7 linked regions of the Mus musculus genome follow. The protein of the gene in region 6 interacts with the protein of the main gene of each other region in a pairwise test. Links are inferred from orthologs where the notes say so. Each region holds a gene or a part of one and is shown on either strand. Other genes may lie near its edges. The genes, in order: Mettl17, Plekhn1, Dzip1l, Txlna, Cchcr1, Cby2 and Armc7.

Region 1 (3,989 bases), about 24 Mb from region 6:
GTCAGCTAACTTCTGCCCCCAAGAGGCTAAAGAGGAAACCACAGCTGGGTAAAGTACTGCTGCCGGGACCCAAGAATTTACAGGTCCATGAGTCTTTTTTTTTTTTTTTTTTAAAGATGTATGAGTGCTCTGCTGCATATACATCCACAGGCCAGAAGAGGGCATCAAATCCCCTTACAGATGGTTGTGAGCCACCATGTGATTGCTAGGATTTAAACTCAGAACCTCTAGAAGAGCAATCAGTGCTCTTAACCGCTGAGCCATCTCTCCAGCCCCAGGTTTTGGGGGGTTTTGTTGTTGTTGTTGTTGTTTCCCCACACACACACTGATTAACCCTTCGAACATTTAGCTTAAAATTCTCCATTTGCATTTCAAGGACCAACAATACCCAGTACGGTGCATTGTTTAAAAATGTAACTCTGACTTTCGACTCCCTAGCACTTAATTCAGCTATCACCTATTAAGTTCATGAACTTGGGTAAATTAACCACGTGAAAAATTAAGTTAGCAACAGATGTTTGTGGAAATAAGATGGCGGGAATTCGGTGTGCTACGTGGGAAGCTCTTGATAGAAAACCTGGAGCAAACTCGCAGACAACAAATGTGAAAAAAAAGTAAGCTAATTTTTATATTTATTAATTTGCAAACTGTAATAGTTATTAGCGCTCATCGTTGACTGCCTAAATCTGATTTTTGTTATGGTCTTGTCCCGTCTCACAAAGGGAAACTAGCCACGGTTCAGAATTCTACAGCACCAAATGAAAACAAAGAAAGTCCACACTTTCCTTTTCACCTGCCTACCCCACTCTCAGCCCCACTCCTGCCCCCACCCCCGCCCAGCCCTGCCCCCGCCTCTGTCCTCCCAAGTCCCACTCCCTACCACCCCCCCACGTCCCCTTCTATCTCCCCACCCCAGTGAGACTGCTTCCCCCTCCACGCCGCCCCCATCTCCCTACTCCCCCAACCCCTCTCCCTCCTACCCCACTAGCCCCCCCTAACCCGTGAGACTGATCCCTCCCCATCACAAAACACGCCCAAGCCGGGTTGGTCTCGCCCGCAGCCACGCTCAGCATTGAGACCACGCCCCTTCTGAAGGCTAAGCCCCTCCCACGAACGGCCTTCTTCGCAGAGACGTACATAAGGTACATAAGGTCGCTTATTGGCTGTTAGCAAATACTCCCTCTTCTCATTAGTTGATACCGTCCGGGTCGAAGTTCCACGGAAGATGCTCTTAGCTGCTTGGGCTGAGGGTTACAGGCATGTGTACTTCCGTTTCCGGTGTGTCCTGAAGCCATGGCCACCGCCAGGACACCGAGATTTCTGCTGCTGTTCTGCAGATCCTGCCGCAGCCTTCGAGGACCCCAGTCCCGAGTAAGTGCATCTTCCTCTGCTGGCGGAGAACTGGGTTTCCAGAGACATCTCTCGGAGGAGGAGCGACCTCGGCGATGCCTCGGGCAGCAAGCACCTGCAACCATTCTGTTTCTTTCGCTGTCTGCAGGCATACGCCGCCCTTGTGCCCGGTGTGTCCCAGGTAGACAACGGGTCGGATTTCCTGGGGAAGAAGCCCCATCGAAAGCATCCCGGCATCCTGCATCTTCCGCACGTCCAGCTGCCGCAAGCACTGGCTGACGCCGCACAGTTAATGCTTTTTGGTGAGAAACTGCGGGAAGGGGAAGCCAGATAAAACCAAACGAGGCCAGCACGCAGCGATGACCCTTTCCATCTGTGACCACAGAGAGACCCATGCGCAGTGTAGAGAAGCAGGTGCAAGCACTCACCAACTATCTCTGGAGCCGACATTTACCTGTAGAGCCGGAGGAGTTGCAAAGACGGGCTGCGTATCTTGAGAAAAAATTCCTGGAAAAACAAGGTAGGGCTTAAAACTAAAAGGCAAACCAGATTAAAATGTCAACGAGAAATTAGGATCAAAGAATAATTTAAATCTCTCAGATAAATACTGCTGTTTCTCATTTGATGCTGTAGTAACAGCCCTACTAGATGATGCCCTGCTAAGAAGGTAGGTTGGGCCAGAGGTTGCCCTTGGAGATTGGGTAAAGGTCAGAAGTTTTGGTCTTTCGGGTTTTTTTATAAAAAATTTCCCCTCCACCGCTGCAAGTCAAAGAGATTATGACTATATTTTGATTCAGGTAAGTAAAGGCCATATGGCAGGCAGTTCAGTAAACACGAAACCCCACCTCGGATAGAAAATTATTACATTTCAGATTATTTTTAAGACTATGGACTTCATATTGTAAATTTGCCTTTTATTCTTGTATTCCCTGCACGTCCCACAGTACCTGGTTCAGGGTAGTGTCTTAGTGTTCTATTGTTGAAGAGATACCATAATCACGGCAACTCTTAGAAAAGAGAGCTTTTAACTGGGGCTGGCTTACAGTTTCAGAGGTTTAGTCGGTTGTCAGCATGACAGCATGCAGGCAGGCATGGTGCTGAAGAAATAGCTGAGAGTTCTGCATCTGCATCGGGAACTGCAGGAACAGAGCGAGACTCTGGGCTTCTCATGGCCTTTTGAAACCTCAAAGCCCACCTCCTAATCCTTTCACGTAGTGCTACTCCCTGGTGACCAAGCATTCCAGCGGATGAGCCATTGGGGAGCAAATGGGGCCATTGTCATTCAAGCCACTACTGTAGGTGTTTGTAGAAATTTGCCCAGTGGTACAGAGCTCCACACAGTCCGGAGACTTGGATTTTCAAGCCCCTTTCTATGGTAATATTGAAGATGTCTCACTCCTAAGTGTCAGAGAGTGAAAAAGTCTATAAAAGTGCCCTTATCCTGGCTTTTATTTTTATCACATGGACAGGAGAGATGGTACAGAGTAAAAAAGCACTCACCACCAAACCTGATGACCTTCTACCAAATGGGTGAAGGTGAGAACTGACTCGGACCTATATGCACACAAGAAGTAAATATTTAAAAAAAAAAAATCATTTTTATCAGGCTTCTGCTCACTATGACGCAAAACTTGGATGGGTTAAGTTGACTAAACTACTATTCTAATAGTCTAGATACTATTAGGTAGATAATATACAGACAAGATAGTGTTGGAAAGTCTTTGATACTCTGGTGATGGTGGCGGTCATCAGTCTTATCCCTCTTCCCTGAAGTTTTGACCTTTCTCGGACTTTGAGCATTTTCTCAGACAGGAATGGGGAAGGCTGGGAGGCGTGTACTTCACGGGATCTAAGCCGTTCTCCTAAGTCCTCACCTCCAGTTCTTCTCACCCTAGACTCAGCTCCCACAGAGGAGAAACTTCGTGAGGCAGTACTGCATGCCCTGCGCAAAACTACCTACCATTGGCAGGAACTCAGGTACGGTCTTCCAGAAAGGGTACAAAGAAGGCATGTTACACGTGAGGAGAGCTGAAGAGGTAGTCAGCTTTGCGTTTGAGAAAGCCTCCTGAAGTCTTCTGTACTAGAAAGTGGAAGGACTAACCAGAAGAATCGTTTCAGATTTTTTGTTTCATAAACTTTAGAAGGTAACTGGGGCTAGGTTATTTCCTAAGTGGGGGAGGGGGGAGTCTCTGACTTGTTGTTGTTGTTGTTGTTTGACAGCTACAGTGAAGAGCTGAGTCTGATCTATATGGCAGCCAGATTGGACGGTGGTTTTGCTGCAGTTTTCAGGGCATTCCATGAGGTGAGAGTCTCTCAGCATCCAACCCAGCCCCCTTTGCCATTGGTTTTGTTTTCTGTAAATTAGCCTTCTGTGGTAGGAGTTCTTGGGATGTTATGCACACACTAATGGTTTTATTTATCCTTTGAAAACAATCCTGTGGCCTAAGAAAGGTTAGAATCACTGAGATGTTTCCTATCTGAAAGTATTTTTTTAATTCATTTACTGTATGTGAGTACACTGTTGCTGTCTTCAGACCCACCAGAAGAGGGCATCCGACCCCATTACAGATGGTTGTGAGCCGCCATGTGGTTGCTGGGAATTGAACTCAGGACCTCTGAAAGAGCAGTCAGTGCTCTTA
Region 2 (3,987 bases), on a different chromosome or scaffold from region 6:
TGGGACAATAGAGAATGCTGGGTAGACACTCACTGAAGGAGGATGAGCAACACAGCTGGGCCTTGCAAGCAGGAAGGGGCAGAGCAACTGTGGCAACAGGAGCAGCGGCAAGGGCTTTCTAAGAAGATGATGCAGACCCCTAGCCAGCGCTTTGCACACAGCACTTATCTGTCTCTGCCAGGCACTATCCCTGAAGGACACAAAGCAGCCTTATTTCCTATGTCCCGTGTACACAGTGTGATGTCTTTTCTGGGTCTTCTATGGAGCTGGGCACACAACATGCACTTAGATCCTACACAGCAATATGAGCCAACTTGAACAATAAACATGTTTCTTGGGCTCCATGGGCCTGAGGCTGAATGTCCATCTTTGGCCCCCTTTGTACCTTCTGCTGTGGCTCTACAGCACATCTTTGGCTCCTCTCTGGACAACAGAGTGAAGGTCTACAGGCAAGTGTGCAGCCAGACTCAAACGCTACCTTAACGTCTGGGGCTGCAAAATGGCACTTCTGCATTCAAGTGGAACAGAGACTGGCTGTCATCCTAGTCTTGAGGCTCCTGGGATCTGGGAGTGTGGGGCCAATGAGGAAGATAGCCTTAGGAACCCGAGAGGCACGTGGCCTCTTTCTTGCATTTGATTAAACTTTGGGGACCCTGACTTCATTCTGGATAAGGGTTGGCCCAGAATGAAGAGAAGCTGGGGGAGGGTTCAGGTCTCTCTCCCTTTATATGAAATTGCACCTCTTGAGCAGCTGAGAGTGAGCAACACACCCCCGACAGTCACCAGTGACTCAGACAGCTGGGACTCGTGTGGAAACAGGATGTGTGCACCCTGGCAGGGGAGGGGCAACTGGAGAATCCCTGCCTCCATAGAACTCCAACGTCTAGGCTCCTCCAGTCTGAATACAAGTGTGCGGGTGTATACAGAGCAGGCCCTTCTGGCCAGGTCTATGCAGGGTGCTGAGATGGGGGCTCCTGGTCCAATCAGGAGATACCTATTCTACCCCAAGGCTCATTGCCTTGGGCCTAGGAAACCTGGGCCCTCACTGGAAGGTTTCCCTCAAAAGGGGCCAATCCGGGCCCAGAGAGGAGCCTCCCCAGGTAGGGGCAGGGCGTCCTGTGGCCACGCCCACCAGCGGGAGGCGTTAACAGAGGAACCAAGAACCCAGACCTGTGGACCTGCCCAGCACAAGCTAGCAGCTGCCATCCATGGGGAACAGCCACTGCGTCCCTCAGGCCCCCAGGAGGCTACGGGCCTCCTTTTCCAGAAAGCCCTCGCTCAAGGGAAACAGGTGAGGGGTGTGGCCTGGCCACAAGGGAACAGGGTCTCCCTGGACCTGCTGCCTGGACCAGGCCTTGAGCCTTCGGTTTCCCTTGTTCCCAGAGAAGACAGCGCCAGGAAGCTGGCTGGCTTGTTTGGCACCGAGGCTAGGCCTGATGGGGACACCGCGGCTAACAGGATCTTCCACTACATCCCTGGGACGGTGAGCGGAGGGGCGTGTCCGGCTGGAGTGGTTGGCTCGGGGCCTGGAGTCTGAGTACAGCTTTGTGCTTCTCCCTGTGTGCTTGTGTGTGCCACAGTGTGAGTGATCATGGGGGCATCACAGCTTCCAGCAGCTTGGGGTGATCCCTGGTCTGCTTGGAGGGATTCAAATCCAAAGCAAGATGAGGAAGTTGGCTCCTCCCTGGGAGCTCGCTCAAGAGTCTAGGCTGAGAGTGAAACCAAGACCAGCACTGAGTGAGTGCTGAGCAGGCAGAGCCAGCCCAGTCTGCGATATATCCAAAGGGACAGTGGCCCCGCCCTCAACCTCCACCGCCCCAGCCTGGGTCTTGCGGGCCGAACACCTGTGTGGAAGCTTCTGGTAAATAGCATAGTGCGGGCCTCAGTCCCCCAGGGTCACTGTGGAGCCCACAGCTGCCATGTTGCCATCTAGGCGGGCACCCATCCCCATAGAGCAAGAAGCCAGCTAACCCTCCTGAGATCAGAAGGCTAAACATTCTGTGGGTTTAATGACTCGCCGAGGAAAAACACACCTTTCCCCTCCCCTTTTCCCAAGTCTATGGCAATACTTGAGAGGAGCCAGGGCTGCAGGTCTGACAGGAACACGTCCTACTCTGCTGTTCGTGGAGGACCACACCCACCCCAGTGGGCTGGGATCTGCTATATATGTGCAGCTTCTACCAGGGTTGGGGCAAGGCTCCTGGATTCTTGGGTGCTGCAGCTGGTGCAAACTCCCAAGGTATACCTTTCTCACAGGATCCTAGGAAAACTGGGAAACCAGCCCCTCCTGGTCTCTGGGGCCCCAGGGATTTCTACAGACGGGTGTCACCTTTAGAAACCTTACTGCCTCAAAGAAATAAAGAGGGAAATGGGGCCTGGCGTGACCAAGGGTGGCATCCCCTCCCTGTGGGCACATCTCAGACCCTGACTCCCTCCAGTCAGGCCCAGGAAATAATTCTAGGAAGGAGTCCCAAAGTTCCAGAGTAGTTGAGCCTAGTCAGGTCACAATAACTGGAAAGTGTGACCCTCAGGAAATGGGATCAGGAAAAGGGGCCCTAGCCAGGCAGAGAACCAGTCCTGAGCACCGTACATGGACTATGGACTCTAGGTAGATTTTGCATCTAAACAAGAACTAGCCCTGCCACAATCTTAAGCTGAGCCCTCAGCTGTCTGAGCACCAGGACCAGCGTCATAGCCTTTCCTATTCATGGCCTATTTTTCAGTGCCATCCAGCATGCGTTTCAACACTGGGTGTACGTACAGGAGGCCCCACCCAGAGTCAGTGAGGATATGAGCTGCTTTTGTCTGTTCACATTCCCAGGGCCTGCACTAGAGGTAGTTCAACTTGATCCGTGTATAGTAGCCCATGCAGGTAGTCCTTGACAGCTTCCAAAGGCAACATAGCACCCGTCCCAAGCCTGTGGCTCGCAACTTAGTCCATTTCTGATCTCTAAAATGATATAGAGGATTCTTCAAAGACTGTCTAAAAGTTGTGCAGATGTTGGACCTACCTCTTTCCCATCCTCCCAGAACATCCCAGGGTCATGTTCTAGACTGTGTGGAGTCAGCAAGGAGCAAAACAGAATAAGACTTCTGTTGTCACCTTCTTCCATTACTATGTCAAAGATAGTCAAGACAAAACAAGAGAAGCCAGTCTAAACCAGTACTAAGTGAAAAGCAAAAGCTGAATTTTAGGACATTCAGAAAGAAGGTAAACCTGAACAGAGAGCCCACAGAGGGGTAAAATGGGAAGTTAGGGCTGAGCAGAGACTCGCACACGCAAAGGTGAGACATCATGTGTCTTACATAATGGAAAAACGAAGGAGAGGACGGGGCCCCAAGTTTAGTCATAGAGAACTCCTCAGTCCATTGCCAATGCTCTACCTTCCACTGTAAGATACGTAGTATGTATGTGGTGAGCTGGGATAGCCAGCAGAGACTCACAACAACTGACTAGTACCTCTTTCCAGTTCCAAGTTCACGACATCACGAGTTACCGAACTCAACTTGGGCAATGTTGGGAATATTTACACTAAAGAAATTAGTAAATATTACAATAAATATTGGATTTTTCTTCTTTATTTCATTTTTTCATAGAACTAGATTTAAAAAAAAAACTTTCAACTGCTACTGAAAACCTGAGAAGGCTGTGAGCATTATCTCATTCTCATAATATCACTTCTGAATTCTGGGGCAAGTCTGAGGGTGTGGAATGACCAAAGTGAAGTTGTACAGAGTAGGCCGTATTGAAGATAAGGACTGAACTCAGTGATACCAACTTAAGTTTATACCATAGAGCGCAGAGCTGTAACTGCAGGGAGCATTATATTTATATGTGTGGTATGCATATATTCCACTTTTTATGTGACGAGGCTTAGGGGTGTGTGGTGTGCATGTATGTGTGTGTTCTTGAGGAATGCATTCTGTGGCCACGCACGGACAGATCAGAACTATATACAGAAGCTGTGTGTATATCGCTTGGGGATC
Region 3 (3,500 bases), on a different chromosome or scaffold from region 6:
TGGTTGTAATAGGGGCTGGGACACATAGTGGTATTTATTGGCCTCATATTTGACTAAAAATCAGGATTTCTGTTTTCTTTCCCTTCCCACTCCCACCGTTCTTTCTGTCTTTCTGTGGTGTTGGGAATTGAACCTAGGGTCTCACCCACTCCCGACCCTTCAAATTCTTTTTTATTTCTGAGGCAGCCCATGGACCCTGTGGAGGCAGAGTTTCACTACAGGATATTTCCACGCTGTCTGGGGGATCTAATCCAGCCCTTCCAATTGCTTTTCTTCTGTGTAGTGCCACTTGTGTGACAAGACCTTCATGAATGCCACCTTTCTCCGGGGCCACATCCAACGCAGACATGCAGGCATGGCAGATGTCGGTGAGTCCAGGCTTCATTGGGGAACTGCTGGGCAAGGATTTGGTGTGTGAGGCCCATGCACATAGACCTGCTCTTAGAGCCTCTTAGCGATTCCACATGGTGCCCTGTGCAGTCTTGCCTGTGTAGGGGACAAGAGGCATCAGACAGGTAGGTTTAGTTTTAGTTTTCCATGAACAGTGGCCAGTACTTAGCCTCTGACTTGTGCCCTTCACTGTGTGTGGAGCAGGCAGTGACTCATAAGGGCCTTTAGCCTCCCTGTAGCCTCATCTGTAGCAATCCGAGGCTGACTGTATAAATGGGGCAAATGAGCAGTCAGACCAGTTCTCTGGCTGTTCTGTGTACGGAGCTTATCACGACTTAATCACTTTATTTAATTGTACCATTTCAGATTCCAAAAGGAGTAACAAAGCTTTGTGTTGTCCTTGTAAAGTTATATGTACTTTTTGCGTTCAACAGAAGTGTCTGTACAATGAAATAACCGCATAACATACATATAAAATTCTCATTAAGGGAAACATTGTTATTTCCTATCATTGTAATCCTCTTACATTTTTTTTGCAGTGGAGAATGTAGCTCCGTAATATAGGACTTGCTTGTATGCAGTGTAGTTCTAGGTTCAGTTCTTAGATAGACACACACACACACACACACACACACACACACACACACACGCACACAGCTTAATGCAGTATCATTTAGTTGTATACTTATTATATATCTCTTCATAGTTCTATATTGGGGATTATTGAGGAAAATAGTATATGTCTTTTTTTTTTTTTTTTTGGTTTTTCGAGACAGGGTTTCTCTGTATAGTCCTGGCTGTCCTGGAACTCACTTTGTAGACCAGGCTGGCCTCGAACTTAGAAATCCGCCTGCCTCTGCCTCCCAAGTGCTGGGATTAAAGGCGTGCACCACCACCGCCCGTCAATAGTCTATGTCTTAAATATTGGTTTCTTATTTTCTTGTAAAAATATATCTTTGCTATAGAAACTTAACTATGTAATGATATATAGGAAAAAGAAAGATAAAAACAAAGGACATCACAGCAGTTGTTATTTTGATATTTTTCTGCATATATTTGTAAGTATATAAAAACTCTTGAGAATACCACAATTTCTGGGTTTTTGTTTTTGTTTCTTTTTTTTTTTTTTTTTTAATTAGTGTTGAACCTGCTGAGTCTAGCTGAGGGTAGTCTTGAACTCCTGGCTCTCTGACTCCACTTCTTGGGTCTGGGGTTGTACGTGTATGCTGCTATGCCTTGCTTACGCAGTAATGGGGGTCAAAAGCAGCGCTTTGTGCGGCACTGCCAGCCCTAAACCATCTTTGAAAACATGATTTTTAATGACTGAACAGAATTTCGTGATGTAACCACCAGTTTCTTTCACATTGTGGTACAGAATATCTGGCTAACTCAAAAATTTCCTTACTATGTAACACAGGATGGATTGACATTCTTGTATGTAAATATTCGTGTGTGTCTTTTCATAGTGTTTTAGTAGAAGGAGAGGGAAATTTGTTCTTTTTCTATTTTATGATTTATTTTTATTTATGCGTATGCTTCTGTGTATATATGCCCTGTGTCTTGTATGTGTGTGTGTGTGTGTGTGTGTGTGTGCCTACAGAGGCCACAAGAGGGTGTCAGACCCCCTATGCCTGGAGTTATAGGCAGTTGTGAACCACACAACATGGATCCTGGGACCCGAACTCAGTTTCTCTGGAAGAGCAGCAGTCGGTCTTAATCACTGTGCTATCTTCCCAGCACTATGGACATGTGTTCTTAGGGCAGTTTTTGCTCATGACTCTTCCCCCTTTCACCCATCCTGTGTGGACCCCAGGAAAGCAGAAGCAGGAACAGCCACTGGGGGAGGTGCTGGAGGAGCTTCGGGCCAAGCTCAAGTGGACCCAAGGGGAGCTGGAAGCCCAGAGGGAGGCTGAGCGGCAGCGGCAGGTCCAGGTGAGAGTGCAGGGAAATGGCAGGAGAGGCTCAGGGTGTCCTGTGCAGCCATGCACTAGACTCCCACAGGAACCAAATTCCTACCGGTTTCCCTGAGCTGGAAGTCAGAGAGAGAAGGCCACCTTCTCCCATGTGGAACATGATTATACTTTGGAAGGGACGGTCAAACTATTTTGCCAGACCTGTGTGGCCAAAAGTGCAGCAGAGAGTCATGGTCTTCTGCGTAGGGATGCTGAAGGCATCTGAACTTGAACATAGTGTTTTGGGCCACACTGTTACTTGGCTCTCTGAGGACAAAGACTGGGGCTGGTTTTGAAAACTCCAGAATTTTAGGCTAGGGGGCGTGAACTATAAGTATCAAATATAAATAAATTTATAGAGTGAAAACTCTAGCCTTCTTCACCTCCCCATGTCATCGCTCGTCACTTATTGCCTTAGCAGGCATTTATTGGGGATTGAAAAGAAAGAGAAAATGAGTTTTATCCTCACGAGAGTCTATAGTTTAGATAAGTCGTGTCCAGCAGTGGACCACTTTGGGTCTAGACTTCAGGGGCTGAGGGTGGTGTGTTCTTTGGATTGCCATAGTGTTATGCATATTGAGGAGGCCTTGGCTGGTACTCAGCAAATGTTTGCCATAACTGGAAAGCAATGATTATACTGCCTTTTATTTTTTTGGGTAGGAATTAGAGATGGCTCGTCAGCGGGAAATGGAAGCTAAAAAAAAGTTCGATGAATGGAAAGAAAAAGAACGCAGCAAGCTTTATGGAGAGATAGACAAGCTGAAACAGCTGTTTTGGGATGAATTCAAAACTGTTGCCAACCAGAACTCCACGTTAGAAGAGGTACCCCACACAAAAAGATTTTCAAAATTTGTTTGTTGCAAACCTATTTGTTCTTAAAAGTTAATTTTGTGTGTGCACATGCATGCATGTGTGTGTGTTTGTGTGTGTTTGTATGCTTGTGCACATGTACAAGGGCTTGCTCATGCACATGTATGTAGAGACCAGAGATGGACATGTCTTCTAACATCTTTCTGTATCTTCGTTCTATATTAGAATTATTTTTTAAAAACTTATTTATTTTTTTATTTATTTATTTATTTATTTATTTATTTATAAGTTATTTATATATGTGAGTATAGTGTCGCTGTCTTCAGACACACCAGAGAAGGAAATCGA
Region 4 (3,944 bases), on a different chromosome or scaffold from region 6:
TTTTTTTAATGTTCTGAGCCTACACTGGCACTGCAAATCATAATGAAGAACAAAGACGAGAAAAATCTAACATTTTAAAGCAGTAACACTTGATACTTTGCAGAAAGTGGGGCAGGGGTGGTAGGGTGGGAGTTTACCAACCTGCCTAAAGCCAAACTCCCTGGCTTCAATCCCTTTCTGAGGGAGTAATTGCCAAGCTGGTGGGGTTAGAAGGCGGGGCATAAATTGCCTCAGAGAACAGCTGTGGTGTCGGAGAATGGTTCCAACCGGTTTTGGTAGGCAGCTCTGAGTTAGAAGCCAGCATAGTCAAAGATTACGTTCTAGGACACACTAGGCTACACAAAGAAACCCTGACTCAGGGGGCAAAGAAATATTTTTAAAGGATGGGTGCTGGTGTCAGGCTTCCAGCTTTGAATCTGCTATAACCACACAATATTGATGGAGCCTTAAACTATTTACCCTTTACCTGGTGGCCTTTGCCATTAGTCCAAGCCATGGGGAGGCAAAGACAGACAAAACTCTTGAGTTCAAAGCCAATTTAATCTACATAGGGAGTTCCAGGCCTGCCAAAGCCACATATAACGAGATGTTGTCTCTAACAAACAAATAGTAGTTTGTTTTATTTTAACTAGGCTTTTCTGTACTATCGTATATTTCACAGATCACTGAGTATTTTGTACTTAATCCGAGTAATTATGAGAATCAAGCTACTGGATACGAGGAAAAAACGTTTGAATTATTATAAACCTTCTATTGTAATAGAGGGGAAAAAAATGCCAGGCACATAACAAATTAGTTTACCTTTCTATCCCTCTTCCGAGTTCTCAGAGATCATAGAAAGTCATACATGTTTATAAAGGACTAATGAGTGTATGAAAAAAAAAGAAAAAAAAAAGACCAGAATGCCAAAGTTTAAGGCCAATCATAGCTTCAGTACCAGAAAAGAGGCTGACAAAAATCTCTCGACCAATGACATAATTTCGGACCCTCAGGGTATTTGGCTCCTATGCTTTTCGGTTGCATCTCGGGAGTTGTGCGGCGCCGCGAGGCATGAAGGGGCTCGTAGTTTTTCCCACTCCCGCCTCCAAAGCCGCCTTGACTTCTTTTTTCCCAGCAAGCTCCGCGCCCGCGTTTGCTGTTGATTGGCTGCGGCAGGAGAGGGCGGTCCTGTTGGCAGCAGTTACCTAGGTTTCCGGTGCTCGGCCGGAGAGGAGGACGCCGCCGGACGTCCGTGGTGAAGTATGTCTATGGGCTGTACGTGGGACGAGCTCTTCAGAGGGTCTGTGGCCCAGGACGCGTTGGCCGTAGAGGAACAACTAATTCGGGGGGTCGGGGGGAGGGCGGCCTGCCCCAGTGTTGCGCGTGCGTACTCTAGGTCTAGAGGGCGCGTGGGGTGTGGGTGGCTTCTGTGCGCGCGCGCGCGCGGGGGTCCCACGTGGGACCTGGTGGGGCGGGGAGCCGATCGGGACTGGAGCATCCCGCCACGTCAGTCTGCGGCTCTGAGCCAATCCCGCGCTCCGGCTGCCGAGAGGGAGCCGTGTGGTGCCGAGAAGTGGCATTCGGGAGAAAGGAGGCCTCTTCCTTCCCTCACTCACTCAGGGGCAGCTTCTCGGAAACCTTCCATGGGACCGTGAAATCCCGGGCGAAGACCGACCGGTCTGTTTGAAGCTTCGAGCGTCAGATTTGGGGATTTCTTATCTAGTTGTGAAGAAGAATTTTGAAGTCTAGAAAAAAAAAAGCAACTGGGTCCTTAAAGGATCTGCCCCATTTCTGGCCTTGCAGATCACAATGAAGAACCAAGACAAAAAGAATGGGCCTGCCAAACACTCCAACTCGAAGGGCAGCCCGGGGCAACGGGAAGCAGGACCGGAGGGAGCCCATGGACGACCCAGACAGACAGCTCCTGGGGCGGAAGCCGAAGGTTCCACAAGCCAGGCTCCTGGGAAGACCGAGGGTGTGTGCCAGCTCTGCTTTTCCAGTGGGCAGAGGGAGGAGTTTCTGGTACTGGTCTGTCTTCTGAGGCCAGTGTTTACCCAAGAAGAAGGAACTATAGAATGAACGATGCTCATTCTGTGTGATCCTTTTGTTTCCTGGGGAGGTGGTGAACCTTCCCACTCTTAGCCGTGGGGCGCAACCTTGGGAGCATGCTCTGACTGGTTTAAACGAAGACAGTCAAATGAAGCACCCCGTAAGCAAAGTCATATTCCCAGAGAACACTTGCCAGTGGTGGGTAATTGTCCTTCATGAGGTGCAGCGTCTGCCACATGCCAACTGCTCCTCACACAGGGGTGCTTTACACAGTTGGCTTTTATAACAAGTATGTTTGGGTGTTAGAAATACTTGTTTTATAACTAAACAAACTTAGGGTTTAAAAAAACTTAAATTGAGGCCAGGCCTAGTGTCCCTCACCATTGTCCACAGAACTCAGGAGGCAGAGGCAGACAGATCTCGGAGTTTGTGATCAGCCTGCATACTAAGTTCCAAGACAGCCAGGGCCCTGTAGAGAGAGCCTAACTCAACCGAATAAATAAATAAAACAACATTTAACCCACACCAGTGTGTTTATCTGGGCTTAAAGAAGATCCAAGCGAGTGGTATGACCACTGAACTTTAATCCCGTGTCTTCATCTTTCCTGCTGTAGGGGCTCGAGCTAAAGCAGCTCAGCCTGGGGCCCTCTGTGACGTCTCTGAGGAGCTGAGCCGGCAGTTGGAAGACATCCTGAGTACATACTGTGTGGACAACAATCAGGGAGGCCCGGCTGAGGAGGGAGCACAGGGTGAGCCCACTGAGCCGGAAGACACGGAGAAGTCCCGAACCTATGCAGCCAGGAATGGGGAGCCTGAACCAGGCATTCCAGTCGTCAACGGCGAGAAGGAGACCTCTAAGGGAGAGCCTGGAACAGAGGAGATCCGAGCGAGTGATGAAGTTGGAGACCGAGACCATCGGAGGCCACAGGAGAAGAAGAAAGCCAAGGGTCTAGGTGAGGGGGGAGCTATTGGTGAGGGGAGGGAGTTAACACCTGTCATCTCATGGGCTAACCTGCTCTGTCAGAACTCAAAAGAATCTGCTTTTCAAGACAGTATGTGTGTTATCTCCCCTCCCCCCCGCCCGGGTTTACTCAAAGATGGGGTCCTAGCATTGAGCTGTTAGATCACTCACTTGTGCAAAGCCTCCTGGCCTTGGGAAGTGGAGGCAGAGTGTAGCTAGCATCTCACTGAGGATATGGAGAACAGGAGGCCCGAGTGCTTGCCAGCACCACTTTTAGCTGCTGCTTGACTTTGGACATGTTTATTCTCCACTCCTGGGTCTTAGTTTCCCTGTTTCTATAGCAATAGAATTAGGCTACACCAAGGTTGAGATATCAAATATCAACATGAACCAGGTAAGCCACAGACCTCTTCAGAATCATCAAGAAAGGGCCTTCTTGATCTGAAAAATTGACTCCTACCTGGTTAGTCCCCCACTCTCATCTGACCAGCTGAATAATTGGCAACCAAAATAATAGAAACCAAGCAAAGCCATCCACTGGTGGGGTTTGCCATCTCCATGCCAATCTCGTGGGCCTCCAGGACTGACAATTCAGGAACCTGGTCTGTGCTGACTGAATACAGTGGAACCCAAGGGAGACAATTGTAAAGCTTCCTGGCTGAGGTAGAGGCAATCAGGCGTGATGGCATCCACCTTTAATCACAGCACTTGAGAAGCAGGGGCAAGTAGATCTCTTGAGTGCCGGACCAGCCAGCTGCATAATGAAACCTTATCTCAAATGAATAAAAACAGAGAGCAATGGCAGTCCTTTGACAGGGGTGGTGGGATAATATGAAAATATGAATTTAGAATCTAATGGGAACCTATGTGGTAGTGTATGCCTCTAATGGGCGACTAGGAGGAACAGAGGCAGGAAGACTGAGTTCAAAGGCAACTTGGACTACATAGCAAGACC
Region 5 (4,008 bases), on a different chromosome or scaffold from region 6:
GGGGGGTGGAAGGTGTAGAGGTCACCGCCCCTGCCGCCCCCTATACGCAGCAGCTGGAAACAGGGCAGCATGGGGGGTGCCCCCTCTGCACCACTTTGCCCACCTCAGAAGTCCATTCCCTCTCCTACTCCTGGGTCATGCACCGTGGGCTTCAATTCAGTTCTCTCTGATGTCAACAGCTAAGTATTGTGCCTAATGCCAACTTAAGCAGTGCAGATTCAGAGCGCCAGAGGCCTGGATATGCACCAAGACAGAGGCTGTCAAGATGAGGTTTAAAAAGCAATTCCAGTAAAGTCCTGATGCGATGCAAAACCAGGAAGACGTCTTGTGGCACCTCAGTGAAGCCGGATCCTCAGGCGGCTCAACATCCGGGAGCCTCCGACAATCTGTGCAAGGCAAAGCTAGTTTAAACCGCAACTGGGAACAGGCAGAGGGGGTGAAGGGGCCCTGGTACACAAACGTGCGTGTGACACGGGTCTTCTCCCTAAGTGTAACCTGGAGTCAGGGAATTTATGGTTAAACTTTCTAATCCAAGTAGCGCACCCCTTCCATCTTTCCCCCCCACCCCCGCTCTTCGGATCAGTTCCCCTAAGGGAAGTGAATCCACTGTCACCCGCAAAGGGCGGCGCAGACGGGTCCCTAATTCTGTAACAAAGTGGATCTCACCCTTTCTTTTTTTCGCTCGCGGGGTAAACTGAGGAAGGGATTCCGTACCCTGCGTCCCGCGCTCCCGCCGAGGTTTGACAGCCAAGGAAGCCGCCCCGAAGGCGGGGCTTGGGTGAAGGCGCGCGCGCGCGCTGCGCAGACTCCTCCTTCGGAATTCCCGGGTCCGACTTCGCGCCCGCGAGCCCGCCCCCCCGCCGGCTGCTTCTGATTGGCCATCTGAGTTGCACCCATTTGCTCTATTGGCCGATGCGCAGGGGGGAGTTGCTCATCTCCCGCTCTCCGCCACTTCTGATTGGCCGGCACGTTTTCCCGGGTTCCCGGGGAGAGGAGGGGCCGTCAGGGCGCGGAGAAAGTTTGGGGCGTCAGGGTGCCTGCTTGCACCTTTCTTCTTCCTATTTCCGGTAGGGAGAAATGGAGCTGTAGAGCAGCCCGCCGCCCCGCGCATGCGTGATCTGGGTGTGGCGTCTAGACTGGGTGCTAGGTGTAAGGGGCGTGGCAAGAGGGCGGATCTCGCGCTGGGTAAGGGGCGTTCGGGGAGAGTCAGTTGGGGGCGGGAAGAGTCTGAGAGGGGGCGCAAGGGGGGCGGAGGGGATCCACAGGGCAAGAGGGGTGCAGGAGCTGGGTCAAAGGATAGATGAGGAGGTCAAGACAGCCTCAGAGTTCAGGGTCCTGACGGGGATTAGCCCGGGGTGTGTGCGGGAGAGAAGTGGGGGAGACAGGACAGGGAGCGACCAAGATAATTCCATCGAAAAAGACTCATACTAGGTCTAGGAAGAGAAACGGGTAGGAATCGCGGGGGTTGAGTGAAAAAAAAAAAAACCCAAAAACTTGAATTCTGATGGAAGTGGGGGAAAGAAGATGCTGTAGGACTCCGAAGAGAGATGCATCGGGAATGGAAGCCGAGGGGATAGAGAGCAACTGAGGCCCGTTACAGAGAGGCCCAGATGAGTTGCCAGGAAGCTGGCTTCCCAGCAACGGGCTCCCGGCTGCTCCGATTCCTCAGGGATCCTAGGGAAGACGCTTAACCCCACATGTGGCCTCATTCTTCCCGGACCAGGCCTTGGGCTAACTCTTTAATAGGAAATGACTCAGAAATCCTGGCTCGATGGTGCCTAGATGGGCTTCCCAACGGCCCTACCATTCCATGGCAAGGACTGTGGAGAGTGGGCTCCTTATACTGTGTCCAGAGAGTCCTGAGCTGCAGGGACCGTAGACACTTAAGGAGGAAGGTAAAGGCACACCACCCACATTCCTGTAAGTAGAAGGAAGCCTCGTCTCAGTAAATTTACCTTAGGGTTGTTGCCTGGTTCATTCTATCAGGAGCGTAGTTGGGACAAGCAAGTGGTTTGGTTACCGTGTGCCTTAGGGAAGTAGGAAAAGAGAAGCGTACAGCCCGATAGACCTGTCAGTAACTTAAGGATTATGACTTTGTTTTTATAGGGCTTTTTCTTTGGAAGGTGGCCTGAAAAATTGAATTGAAGTATCCTTGTTTCTCCTATTGTCCAGGGGAACATAGGTGACTGGAGACAAGAGCTACAGGATTCATATAACAGGAAGATGTTGCCACCGTCAGGTCAGTGAGGCTAGTCAAGGAGACCAGGATCATCTCCCTCTTCCCTCTCCCCCTCTCTCAGAATCTGACAGTCTTTATTCTTGTGACCCCCTCAGGTTTTGCTGGGCTGGTTCCTCCCTCCCACTTCCAAGCTCGGCCCCTTCCAACTCTGCCAAGAATGGCCCCGACCTGGGCTTCAGACGTTCCCTTGGTCCAATCTCCGGCCAGCCAAGATGTCTTAGAGAGACGGCTAGATGCTCAGAGGTCGACAGTGACCACGTGGGGACAGGATTTCTGTGGAGATGGGCAGGGGCTAGGGCGGAGAGGCAGGTAGGGATCTGCCAATCACCTCTTCCTCAGACTGACACATGGTCCTTCATACACGCATGCCTTCATTTCAGCCCCTGGTTCTATAACTTGTGTGGTTTTTCTATAGGCCATTGTTGGCCCCTACGACGCATAGACCACATGCGTTGGGGTTAGTGAGAATAGATGTTTGGACTTAAATTCTCATTACATAAGGAATGTAAATGTCTTAAGGGAGGGGATAAGTTCTGCAAAAGCTGTTTTAAAGCAAAATGACGTGCAGCTTAGACATGCTGACCCAGTTCTCCAGAGGCATACTGGCTCCTTTTGGAGTAGTTAAGCAGGCCTTTACAGGAATGTGCAACTGGAGCTGGCTATGCTCTGTGAATGTGGTTTTATTTGTTTTTTTTTTTTTGTTTTTTGTTGGTTTTTTGTTTGTTTGTTTTTTCAAGACATGGTGTCTCTGTATAACCCTGGCTGTCCTGGAACTCGCTCTGTAGACCAGGCTGGTCTCGAACTCAGAAATCTGCCTGCCTCTGCCTCCCGAGTACTGGGATTAAAGGTGTGCGCCACCACGCCTGGTGTCAATGTGTGTTTTAAGACTATTAAAAAAAATTTTTTTTAAGGTTTATTTAGTTTTATTTATAGGAGTACATTGTACTCCTATACACACCGGAAGAGGGTATCAGATCCTATTACAGATGGTTGTGAGACACCGTGTGGTTGCTAGGAATTGAACTCAGGACCTTTGGAAGAGCAGTCAGAGCTCTTACCTGCTGAGCCATCTCTCCAGCCCCTAAAGAACTCTTAACCTCTGCTCCAACTCTCCAGCCCTAAGAATTTTATTTTTGAGCTTAGTATGGTCTGCCTTTAATCCCAGCACTAGAGAGTCAAAGGTAGGCAGATCCCTGAGTTCAAGGCCCCAACCCTGGTCTAGAGATTGAGTTTCAGGACAGTTAGGGCTGCATAGAGAAAAACTTGTCTGGAAAAAACAACAACAAAGACTTTATTTATGTGTGTATGATTGTGTGTGAGCATTCATACTTGGAGGCCAAAAGAGGGTGAAGGATCCTCTGTAGTTGGAGTGACAGGCAGCTGTCAGCCTTTGAATGTGGGGGGCTGGGAACTGAACTCAGGTTCTTTGCAAGATCAGCAAGCGCTCTTAGCACCCCGAGCCGGCTCTCCAGCCCCTGTGGACATTCGGCTCTGTGTGAATGAGCATTCTTACTTCTGTTTCGTCTGTGTCTTTCCCCCAGTGTCCTGGGGTGTCATTCTGTCAGAGGGGCATGTTAGGAGACAGATTGTAAGGAACTGTGGCAAGTCATTGCTAGCCTCCAGTTAAAGGAAATCCTGCCATTCTCAGGGACAGAGATGCCTCTGGAGCCTCCACATAACCAATTCAGATATGCAGACGCCTCAGACTCCCTGTGCAATGTACCAAACACTCACGGAAAAAGCCCGCACCAAAAGAGCAGGGTGTAACA
Region 6 (3,326 bases):
CAGGGTTCTAAGGACCCTAAGTGTCACAATCAACATACAAAGACAGGCCAGGCTCATTGTCTAAGGAATGTAGCCAGAGGATCCTAACTAGGGACTTTGTGTGCTAATGAGTCCATGTGGACTCATCAATTTTTATAGATTTTGGTAGGGGATATTGATGACTATGGCAGAGGTCTGCAGGAACTCTGACTTTCGGCTCAATTTCACTCTAAAAAGTCCGTCTGTCGTGCCGAGTCCTGTGGCCCATTTCCCAACCCCTTGCATTTTATAAAGCCTTTTTTTTTTTTACTATGTAGCCTAGGTGAACCTTAAGTTCACAATCCTCTTGCCTCAGCTTCCTGAGCCCCGAGAGAGTGCAAAAATGCACCATCATACCCTGCTAAGGCTATAGAAGGGGAGAAAAGGTACAGGGGTTGAAAAATAAGGACAGGGAACCAGATAAGGAGATGGTTGATAAAGACGAGAGAGGCAAGGCAAAGGAACAGAAGGGGAGGCAGTAAGACGTTAAAGAGTAAGAAGGAAGGGGGAGAAGAAGCCATAATTCCACGCTGGTGTTGGCTGGCCCCAGCCTCCTCTGTCTTTATTGTGTGTCAGGTGTAGGATGGCCCTTTCTCCGTTGTCCCACGGGCACGTGCTTCTGGGCAGAGTAAGGAAGACAAAGGAAGGTTGAGGGTTCTCTCTGGTCTGGTCTTGGTGTCTATGTCTGCTGCCAAGGCCTCAGACCCTGCTGGGCTTTTTGGGATCTTTGTTGTTCTTGGCTGGCATGAAGGCATACAGCTCTTCGATAAGCATCTCCATCCGGGCTGTGACCTCAGTCACCGTGTCGATGACCAGCCGCTGCTGCAGCTTCAACTTATTGTTCTCCCACAGGGCCTTGTTCTCCTCCTGGAAGACGCGGTGCTCCTCTCGCAAGATGTGCAGAGCCCTGTTCTCCTCCTGCAGCAGCCGGTTCTCCTCCTGCAGGGCCTGCAGCGCCTGGTTCATCTCTCTCAGCAGCTGCAGGGGTTGAGCGCTGTCAGGTAGGTTAGGGCCTACTTTGCCATCCTCTTCCCCAGATGCCCCAGACAAGTTGTTAACCATCTCCCTCAGGGCACGCAGTGTCTTCGAGTCCTCCTGTGTTGTGGGGGGCACTTTGGGGTCCTCAAAGGGGGAGGAGTGGTTTGTGCTCTGATCTGGCAGAAGCCCTGAGTTATGGGACTCCTCCTTGGGTGAGGAGGTGGACTTGCCTTCCTCAGTGGAAGCTGCATTCTCTTCTGCCTGGGCCCAGTAGGCCTGCCTCTGCTCCAGCAACTGCTGCAGGGCCCGGTTCTCCTCTCGAATGAGCTGTAGGGTGCTCTCTTTGCTACGCTGGGCAGGCAAAGTGGTGTTGTCTCTCTTCACCACTTCCTGGGAGGTTGTGTCCTTGTGCAACAATGAGGAGGTCTGACTCTCCTCGTGGCCTAAAGTGACCTTGTGCTCTTCCCAAAAGACCTGTAAGATCTTGTTCTCCTTGCGGAGGGCCTTGTTCTCATCCCGTAGGGCCCGGTTCTCATCCCGAAGAGACTTGTTCTCTTCCTGCAGCTGGTACTCCTTGGCCAGCCTCCTGTGGTGCAGCTTATGGTGGAAGGAGGAGGGGGGAGAGAAGTAAGGTGGTTGTAGGCGGCAGCTCTCATTCACCCAGCGCCCATCCTGGAAGACAAACATCTCATCGCTGAGCTGCACCCGGGGAGGGTTGTAGTCTAGTTCCAGGTCGGCCTGGGAGGTGGGGCGCTCCATGGGGTCAAAAGGCATAGAAGAGAAGCGGTTGAGTGGGTAGGAGTGCTGGCTGGCTACCCTGCGGCTCATCCGAGGTAAGGCAGCCTGCCTGGAGCAGCGAGGAGTACTGTACAGGTTGTGGAGCCTCAGGAAGGGCTCGGTGCCCCTCTGTGGGAGAAAAGCAGGGAAGCTGTTAACGGAGGAACTGTTGAAAAGAGTGCTGGTGAACTAAGAGGTCCAGAGATGCCTTCACGTGACCTCCAGGGATCTTAATGAGGACGTATAACCAGCCTTTGTAATCCTGGGTAGCATCCTTCTGAATTAATGAATACTGAACCATGGTTCCTAGGGGGGAAAACTGAGCCAGGTTCCTATAAGGCTCGAGTCATCAAATTTCCGTGGACTGCTAAAATAGAAGACACTGCTTCTGTTTATAGACGCCCTCATGGATATGCAGATTGACAGTGTGTGAATCCTCTACCGTGAGCAGAGCTTATCTAACAAGCTTGCTCCGTGGGGGCACAACACGGACCCGTGGTAATTAAGAGTCTTTAGCCATATGTTTAGATGTCACTGTAAGCAGTGAAGCCAACAAGAAGTACAAAGATTCAAAATCATACTGGCATATAAACTGAAAACAAGACACTTTTCCAGGATGGACGTTCAAACAAGGGGCACCTTACCCCCAGTTCTTGGCTGTATACCCATATACAAACATCTCTGTAGATCCAAGAAAGACCATAAATATTCTATGAGCACTAATGCTGGTATAGTCAAAGTCCTATACATCCATAACTATAAAATCTATAAATAATTAACTACATACTGTGCAGGCCTATAATCTCAGCTACCTCAGAGACAGTGCAGGTAGGAACATAAAACTCAAAAAAGGAAAAGACACAGATAATAAGATCCAAACACATGGCAGAAATGAAAGGTACTTATTTTAGAATCAACCTTTTTTCTTCTTCTTCTTTCTTTTCTTAACTACTTATCAGTTATGTGAATCTGGGCAAGTTGTGTGAATCCCAGTTTCTACAATTTTAACTTGGGGAAACTGCACCACCTTGAAGAAAGTGTCAGATTCCTTGGGGCTGATGTTACAGTTGTTGGCAGGATGGCCAGCTGGCTCCGTGGCTGCATTTTACCTGTATAATTCATTTAATCCTCACGACGCCGGCAAATGAAATACTATTTCAGCCTGACATTCCTAATCAGAAGATTTTTCATTTCCAAAGTGCTCCAAAATCTGAAGTTTTTCTGAAGCATCCAAAAAAGTGAGAAATCATCAGGGAAATGCAAATCAAAACAACACTGAGATTCCACTTCAGAATGGCTAAGATCAAAAACTCAGGTGACAGCAGATGCTGGCGAGGATGTGGAGAAAGGGGAACACTCCTCCATTGTTGGTGGGATTGCAAGCTTGTACAACCACTCTGGAAATCAGTCTGGCAGTTCCTCAGAAAATTGGACATAGTACTACCGGAGGATCCCGAAATACCTCTCCTGGGCATATATCCAGAAGATGTCCCAACCGGTAAGAAGAACACATGCTCCACTATGTTCATAGCAGCCTTATTTATAATAGCCAG
Region 7 (3,944 bases), on a different chromosome or scaffold from region 6:
TTCATTCTAACAGAAAACAGAGTTGGGGCTGGCTAACAGGCCCACGTCCAGGAAAAATAGAATCTGTGATCCTCCAGCTAGGAAATTTTCATCACACTTGCCCGTTGGTAATAATGGCATTAATCTGAGGGCAATAAGCAACGAAGAAATGAGGGTGCAAATGTAGTTTAGTCACGTACATCAAACCTTCACTTCCATCTCCAGCCCCACCCATGCCCAGGTGTGCTGTAATCCCAGTTCTTTGGAGCCTGGGGCTTGGAGACAAGATGGAAGCAAAGTCTACTCTTTTGTAGCCAGGATCTGCTTTGGACCATCCCTGGAAAATTTTGAGGGGAGTCTGCAAAGTATTTGTTCTGGAATCTCAAAGGCTCCAGGTCCCCAGGTCTTTGATGTTCTGACTAGTCAGACGCTTGGCCATCTTGAGCTGAGATGTAAGAAGTCTGCCTAGCCTGCTTCTTATAAAACCTAAAGGGCACAGAGTTCTCACGGAGCAACCTTGGTTCTCAAGCATCCAAACTAAGACTAAAACTCTTGCTCTTGGTTGATGTTGGGCATGGATTGATCACTGGAACTTAAACCCCAGAGGTGGGGGCCAGGGAAAGGTGAAGTACACAAACCATTCTGCTGTGATTCAGGTCCCTGGTACCAAACATAGTACATGACCCCTGACCCTTGCCCTAAAAACCCTTACTGCCTCCATCCTCCACCTCCACCACAGCACGGCAAAGCTGGGCCCCTCCCTGACGCTCCTTGTGACCCTAAGATTGTGTTTGGGGTTTGATGGATGTTCTGTTTTGTTACCAGGGTCTTGCCATGTAGCTCTGGATTGCCTTGTAGACTAAACCGTCCTTAAACTCCGTGTTCTGGGATTAAACTACTATCATGTCTAGATGGCCTGAAGATCCGTCTGCCCGGCTGTCAATCCATCCACCATTCTCTCTCTCCTTTTCTCCTCTTTCCCTCCCCTCTCCCTTCCTCTCTCCTTCGACGCATCCCCGCTGCGGCGGCTGCGCAGTGGAGGGTTAAAGCCTCCAGCTCTAGAAATCCGGAGGGAAGCCCAGGAGGCGCCCAGTAACCACGCCCAATCCCGTCCTGGTCCCGCTCACTCCGTTTCCTGGGGCGGGGCTAGAGAGACTTCCGCCCTGAACCAGGAAGCGGTGCAGGGAGTGTGGTAAGGGGGCGTGCCTGCCTTCAGTTCCGAAAAGCCACAGCGTCTCGCCCGGGTTGAATTTTGGTTTTCAGATCCGGCTCAGACAGGATCCTGAGACCCCTGGCCACCCCCACAGCTCATCCCCAGCTGCAGACGCGGATCTCAGGACAAGACTGGGTTTGCTGCCGCTCTGTCGCCGCCGGGACAGGTCAGGATCCAGGCCTTGTGGCCTCTACCGGAGCTCCCAACTCCGCCGCCCCAGCCATGGCACAGAAACCCAAGATAGACCCCCACGTCGGGCGGCTAGGCTACTTGCAGGCGCTGGTCACAGAGTTCCAGGAAACCGAGAGCCAAGGTAAGAGGTGTAGCGTGGGCACGAGGGACCCAGGAGGGTTCTGACGGCAGCCGCCGCCGCACAGGTCCGACCCCAGGGCTGCTTCCCATTGCAGATGCCAAGGAGCAAGTCCTCGCCAACCTCGCCAACTTCGCTTATGACCCGGGCAACTACCAGTACCTACGGCAACTACAAGTCCTGGACTTATTCCTTGATTCTCTGTCGGAAGAGAATGAAACCCTAATCAAGTTTGCTATTGGTAAGAGTTAGGCTGCCCCCAACCCCCGTGCCCGCGCGCCTCCCCCCAAGTTATAGACTAGAGCGACTTGAGAGTCAGGCATGCCACTCGCCTATAAAACTAGCATTACGGGAGGCTGAAGCAGGAGGATGGTTGCGACTTGGGGGCCAGCCTGGGATTCAGAGTAAGACACTGTCACTAAACAAACTAGTGTTTGGGATGGGATCTCATCTAGGGCAGAGCTGCCGTGTGTGGACCACCTACCTTCTCCTCCTCCACACATTATCGGGGTCACAGCTCATTCCAAACAAGTCGTGTCTTTCTTCCTCTTAGAAAAGAGATAATAAGTGAGGAAATGGGGTGAAACCTCTTTGAAAGAAGTTTAGTTTTTTGTTTGTTTGTTTGCTTGATTTTGATTTTTTTGAGACAGGATTTCTCTGTGTAGCCCTGGCTATTCTGGAACTCACTCTGTAGACCAGGCTGGCCTTGAACTCAGAAATCTGCCTGCCTCTCTGCCTCCCAAATGCTGGGATTAAAGGTGTGCGCCACCACTGCCCGGCTGGAGCTTGCCCTTGTATTGTTTACTGTCAAGAGGTGCAAAGGTAGCTTAGAACTCCTATAGTTGGGTTATTGTAAGGCCGTTTGAATTATTCAAGGTAGACTCTTTTACATTTGCTGTGTAGGTGTGTGTTTGCATGTGTGTGTGGATGAGTGTGAGTATGCATGTGCACCAGGCTGTATGCATGAAATTTGTCAAGAGTCAGTTCTCCCCGAGTACAGTGGTACATGCCTTTCATCCCCAGTACTGGGAAGACAGAGGTAGGTAGATCTTTCCGAGTTCCAGGCCAGCCTAGCGTGAGTACTGAGTTCTGGACCATCTAGGGCTATGTGGTAAGATGTCGTCTCTAAAAACTAAGGTAGTCGTTGTTGTTGTGTTCTCCTCTTCCAGTTGCTAAGGGAAGATCTCTGTGCCTTCAGAGTAGGGCAGTGCACTCCATAGCTGGGCCGTGAGCCTCCAGCTAATGGGGAGAGAGTGCTGGGGTTCCAGATGCTCGACACTGCATCTGGTTTTCTTATGTAGGTCCCTGGAACCGAATTCAGGTCATCAGAATTGTGTGGCAAGCTCTTTTACCTACTAAGCCATCTCCTCTGCCCCATGATAGATAGTCATTATTGGGCACCCTATAAGGAAGGTACTGGCCCAGGTTCTGAGGAGATGGTGAACAGGTTGGGGATTGTATTCTGGAAGGGGAGCTAGGTGGCGAATAAAACAAGCAAAGTAGAGATAAACAGGAACTCAGATGGAGCCATAGGAGGTGTGTCACGCTACTTACGCTACTTCCATTTCAGCCATCTTGGATATGCGATGTAGACAAAGCAGCTAAGCAGGAAGCTGTTAGAGGGAAGCTGATGTGTTAGAGGGAAGCTGATGTGTTAGAGGGAGGCCGATGTGTTAGAGGGAAGCTGATGTGTTAGAGGGGAAGCTGATGTGTTAGAGGGAGGCCGATGTGTTAGAGGGAGGCCGATGTGTTAGAGGGAAGCCGATGTGTTAGAGGGAAGCTGATGTGTTAGAGGGGAAGCTGATGTGTTAGAGGGAGGCCGATGTGTTAGAGGGAGGCCGATGTGTTAGAGGGAAGCTGATGTGTTAGAGGGGAAGCTGATGTGTTAGAGGGAGGCCGATGTGTTAGAGGGGAAGCTGATGTGTTAGAGGGAAGCTGATGTGTTAGAGGGAGGCTGATGTGTTAGAGGGAGGCCGATGTGTTAGAGGGGAAGCTGATGTGTTAGAGGGGAAGCTGATGTGTTAGAGGGAGGCCGATGTGTTAGAGGGAGGCCGATGTGTTAGAGGGAGGCCGATGTGTTAGAGGGGAGGCTGATGTGTTAGAGGGGAAGCTGATGTGTTAGAGGGAGGCTGATGTGTTAGAGGGAGGCTGATGTGTTAGAGGGGAAGCTGAAGTGTTAGAGGGAGGCCGATGTGTTAGAGGGAGGCCGATGTGTTAGAGGGGAAGCTGATGTGTTAGAGGGAAGCTGATGTGTTAGAGGGGAAGCTGATGTGTTAGAGGGAAGCTGATGTGTTAGAGGGAGGCCGATGTGTTAGAGGGGAAGCTGATGTGTTAGAGGGAAGCTGATGTGTTAGAGGGGAAGCTGATGTGTTAGAGGGAAGCTGATGTGTTAGAGGGAGGCTGATGTGTTAGAGGGAGGCCGATGTGTTAGGGATATTTTAA

What was found.
Region 1: the proteins of Cby2 (region 6) and Mettl17 interact in binary tests that used the Homo sapiens proteins (3 or more experiments, as listed by UniProt). The link is inferred for Mus musculus from reciprocal best matches to the Homo sapiens genes CBY2 and METTL17.
Region 2: the proteins of Cby2 (region 6) and Plekhn1 interact in binary tests that used the Homo sapiens proteins (3 or more experiments, as listed by UniProt). The two-hybrid records come from large-scale screens. The link is inferred for Mus musculus from reciprocal best matches to the Homo sapiens genes CBY2 and PLEKHN1.
Region 3: the proteins of Cby2 (region 6) and Dzip1l interact in binary tests that used the Homo sapiens proteins (3 or more experiments, as listed by UniProt). The two-hybrid records come from large-scale screens. The link is inferred for Mus musculus from reciprocal best matches to the Homo sapiens genes CBY2 and DZIP1L.
Region 4: the proteins of Cby2 (region 6) and Txlna interact in binary tests that used the Homo sapiens proteins (3 or more experiments, as listed by UniProt). The two-hybrid records come from large-scale screens. The link is inferred for Mus musculus from reciprocal best matches to the Homo sapiens genes CBY2 and TXLNA.
Region 5: the proteins of Cby2 (region 6) and Cchcr1 interact in binary tests that used the Homo sapiens proteins (3 or more experiments, as listed by UniProt). The two-hybrid records come from large-scale screens. The link is inferred for Mus musculus from reciprocal best matches to the Homo sapiens genes CBY2 and CCHCR1.
Region 7: the proteins of Cby2 (region 6) and Armc7 interact in binary tests that used the Homo sapiens proteins (3 or more experiments, as listed by UniProt). The two-hybrid records come from large-scale screens. The link is inferred for Mus musculus from reciprocal best matches to the Homo sapiens genes CBY2 and ARMC7.

The regions. Positions count from the first base shown.
Region 1 is NC_000080.6:51,883,653-51,887,641, forward strand, and holds the start of Mettl17 (methyltransferase-like protein 17, mitochondrial precursor), read left to right. Parts: upstream 1-1,189; 5' UTR 1,190-1,293; coding exon 1,294-1,371; intron 1,372-1,498; coding exon 1,499-1,652; intron 1,653-1,735; coding exon 1,736-1,870; intron 1,871-3,245; coding exon 3,246-3,327; intron 3,328-3,570; coding exon 3,571-3,652; intron 3,653-3,989. UniProt on the Homo sapiens protein: Mitochondrial ribosome (mitoribosome) assembly factor. Binds at the interface of the head and body domains of the mitochondrial small ribosomal subunit (mt-SSU), occluding the mRNA channel and preventing compaction of the head domain towards the body.
Region 2 is NC_000070.6:156,225,713-156,229,699, reverse strand, and holds the start of Plekhn1 (probable pleckstrin homology domain-containing family N member 1), read left to right. Parts: upstream 1-1,187; 5' UTR 1,188-1,208; coding exon 1,209-1,291; intron 1,292-1,383; coding exon 1,384-1,483; intron 1,484-3,987. UniProt on the Homo sapiens protein: Controls the stability of the leptin mRNA harboring an AU-rich element (ARE) in its 3' UTR, in cooperation with the RNA stabilizer ELAVL1.
Region 3 is NC_000075.6:99,639,531-99,643,030, forward strand, and holds part of Dzip1l (zinc finger protein DZIP1L), read left to right. Parts: intron 1-283; coding exon 284-368; intron 369-2,203; coding exon 2,204-2,322; intron 2,323-3,002; coding exon 3,003-3,164; intron 3,165-3,500. UniProt on the Homo sapiens protein: Involved in primary cilium formation. Probably acts as a transition zone protein required for localization of PKD1/PC1 and PKD2/PC2 to the ciliary membrane.
Region 4 is NC_000070.6:129,638,266-129,642,209, reverse strand, and holds the start of Txlna (alpha-taxilin), read left to right. Parts: upstream 1-1,144; 5' UTR 1,145-1,239; exon of another isoform or gene 1,240-1,279; intron 1,280-1,404; exon of another isoform or gene 1,405-1,782; 5' UTR 1,783-1,788; coding exon 1,789-1,954; intron 1,955-2,642; coding exon 2,643-2,981; intron 2,982-3,944. UniProt on the Homo sapiens protein: May be involved in intracellular vesicle traffic and potentially in calcium-dependent exocytosis in neuroendocrine cells.
Region 5 is NC_000083.6:35,516,045-35,520,052, forward strand, and holds the start of Cchcr1 (coiled-coil alpha-helical rod protein 1), read left to right. Parts: upstream 1-1,208; 5' UTR 1,209-1,697; coding exon 1,698-1,895; exon of another isoform or gene 1,896-1,920; intron 1,921-2,106; exon of another isoform or gene 2,107-2,172; coding exon 2,173-2,239; intron 2,240-2,334; coding exon 2,335-2,548; intron 2,549-3,097; exon of another isoform or gene 3,098-4,008. Other genes in the region: Tcf19 (transcription factor 19-like protein), read right to left, coding at 1-71. UniProt on the Homo sapiens protein: May be a regulator of keratinocyte proliferation or differentiation.
Region 6 is NC_000080.6:75,582,334-75,585,659, forward strand, and holds the end of Cby2 (protein chibby homolog 2), read right to left. Parts: intron 1,903-3,326; coding exon 718-1,902; 3' UTR 501-717; downstream 1-500.
Region 7 is NC_000077.6:115,474,523-115,478,466, forward strand, and holds the start of Armc7 (armadillo repeat-containing protein 7), read left to right. Parts: upstream 1-1,144; 5' UTR 1,145-1,414; coding exon 1,415-1,505; intron 1,506-1,599; coding exon 1,600-1,743; intron 1,744-3,944. UniProt on the Homo sapiens protein: As a component of the minor spliceosome, involved in the splicing of U12-type introns in pre-mRNAs.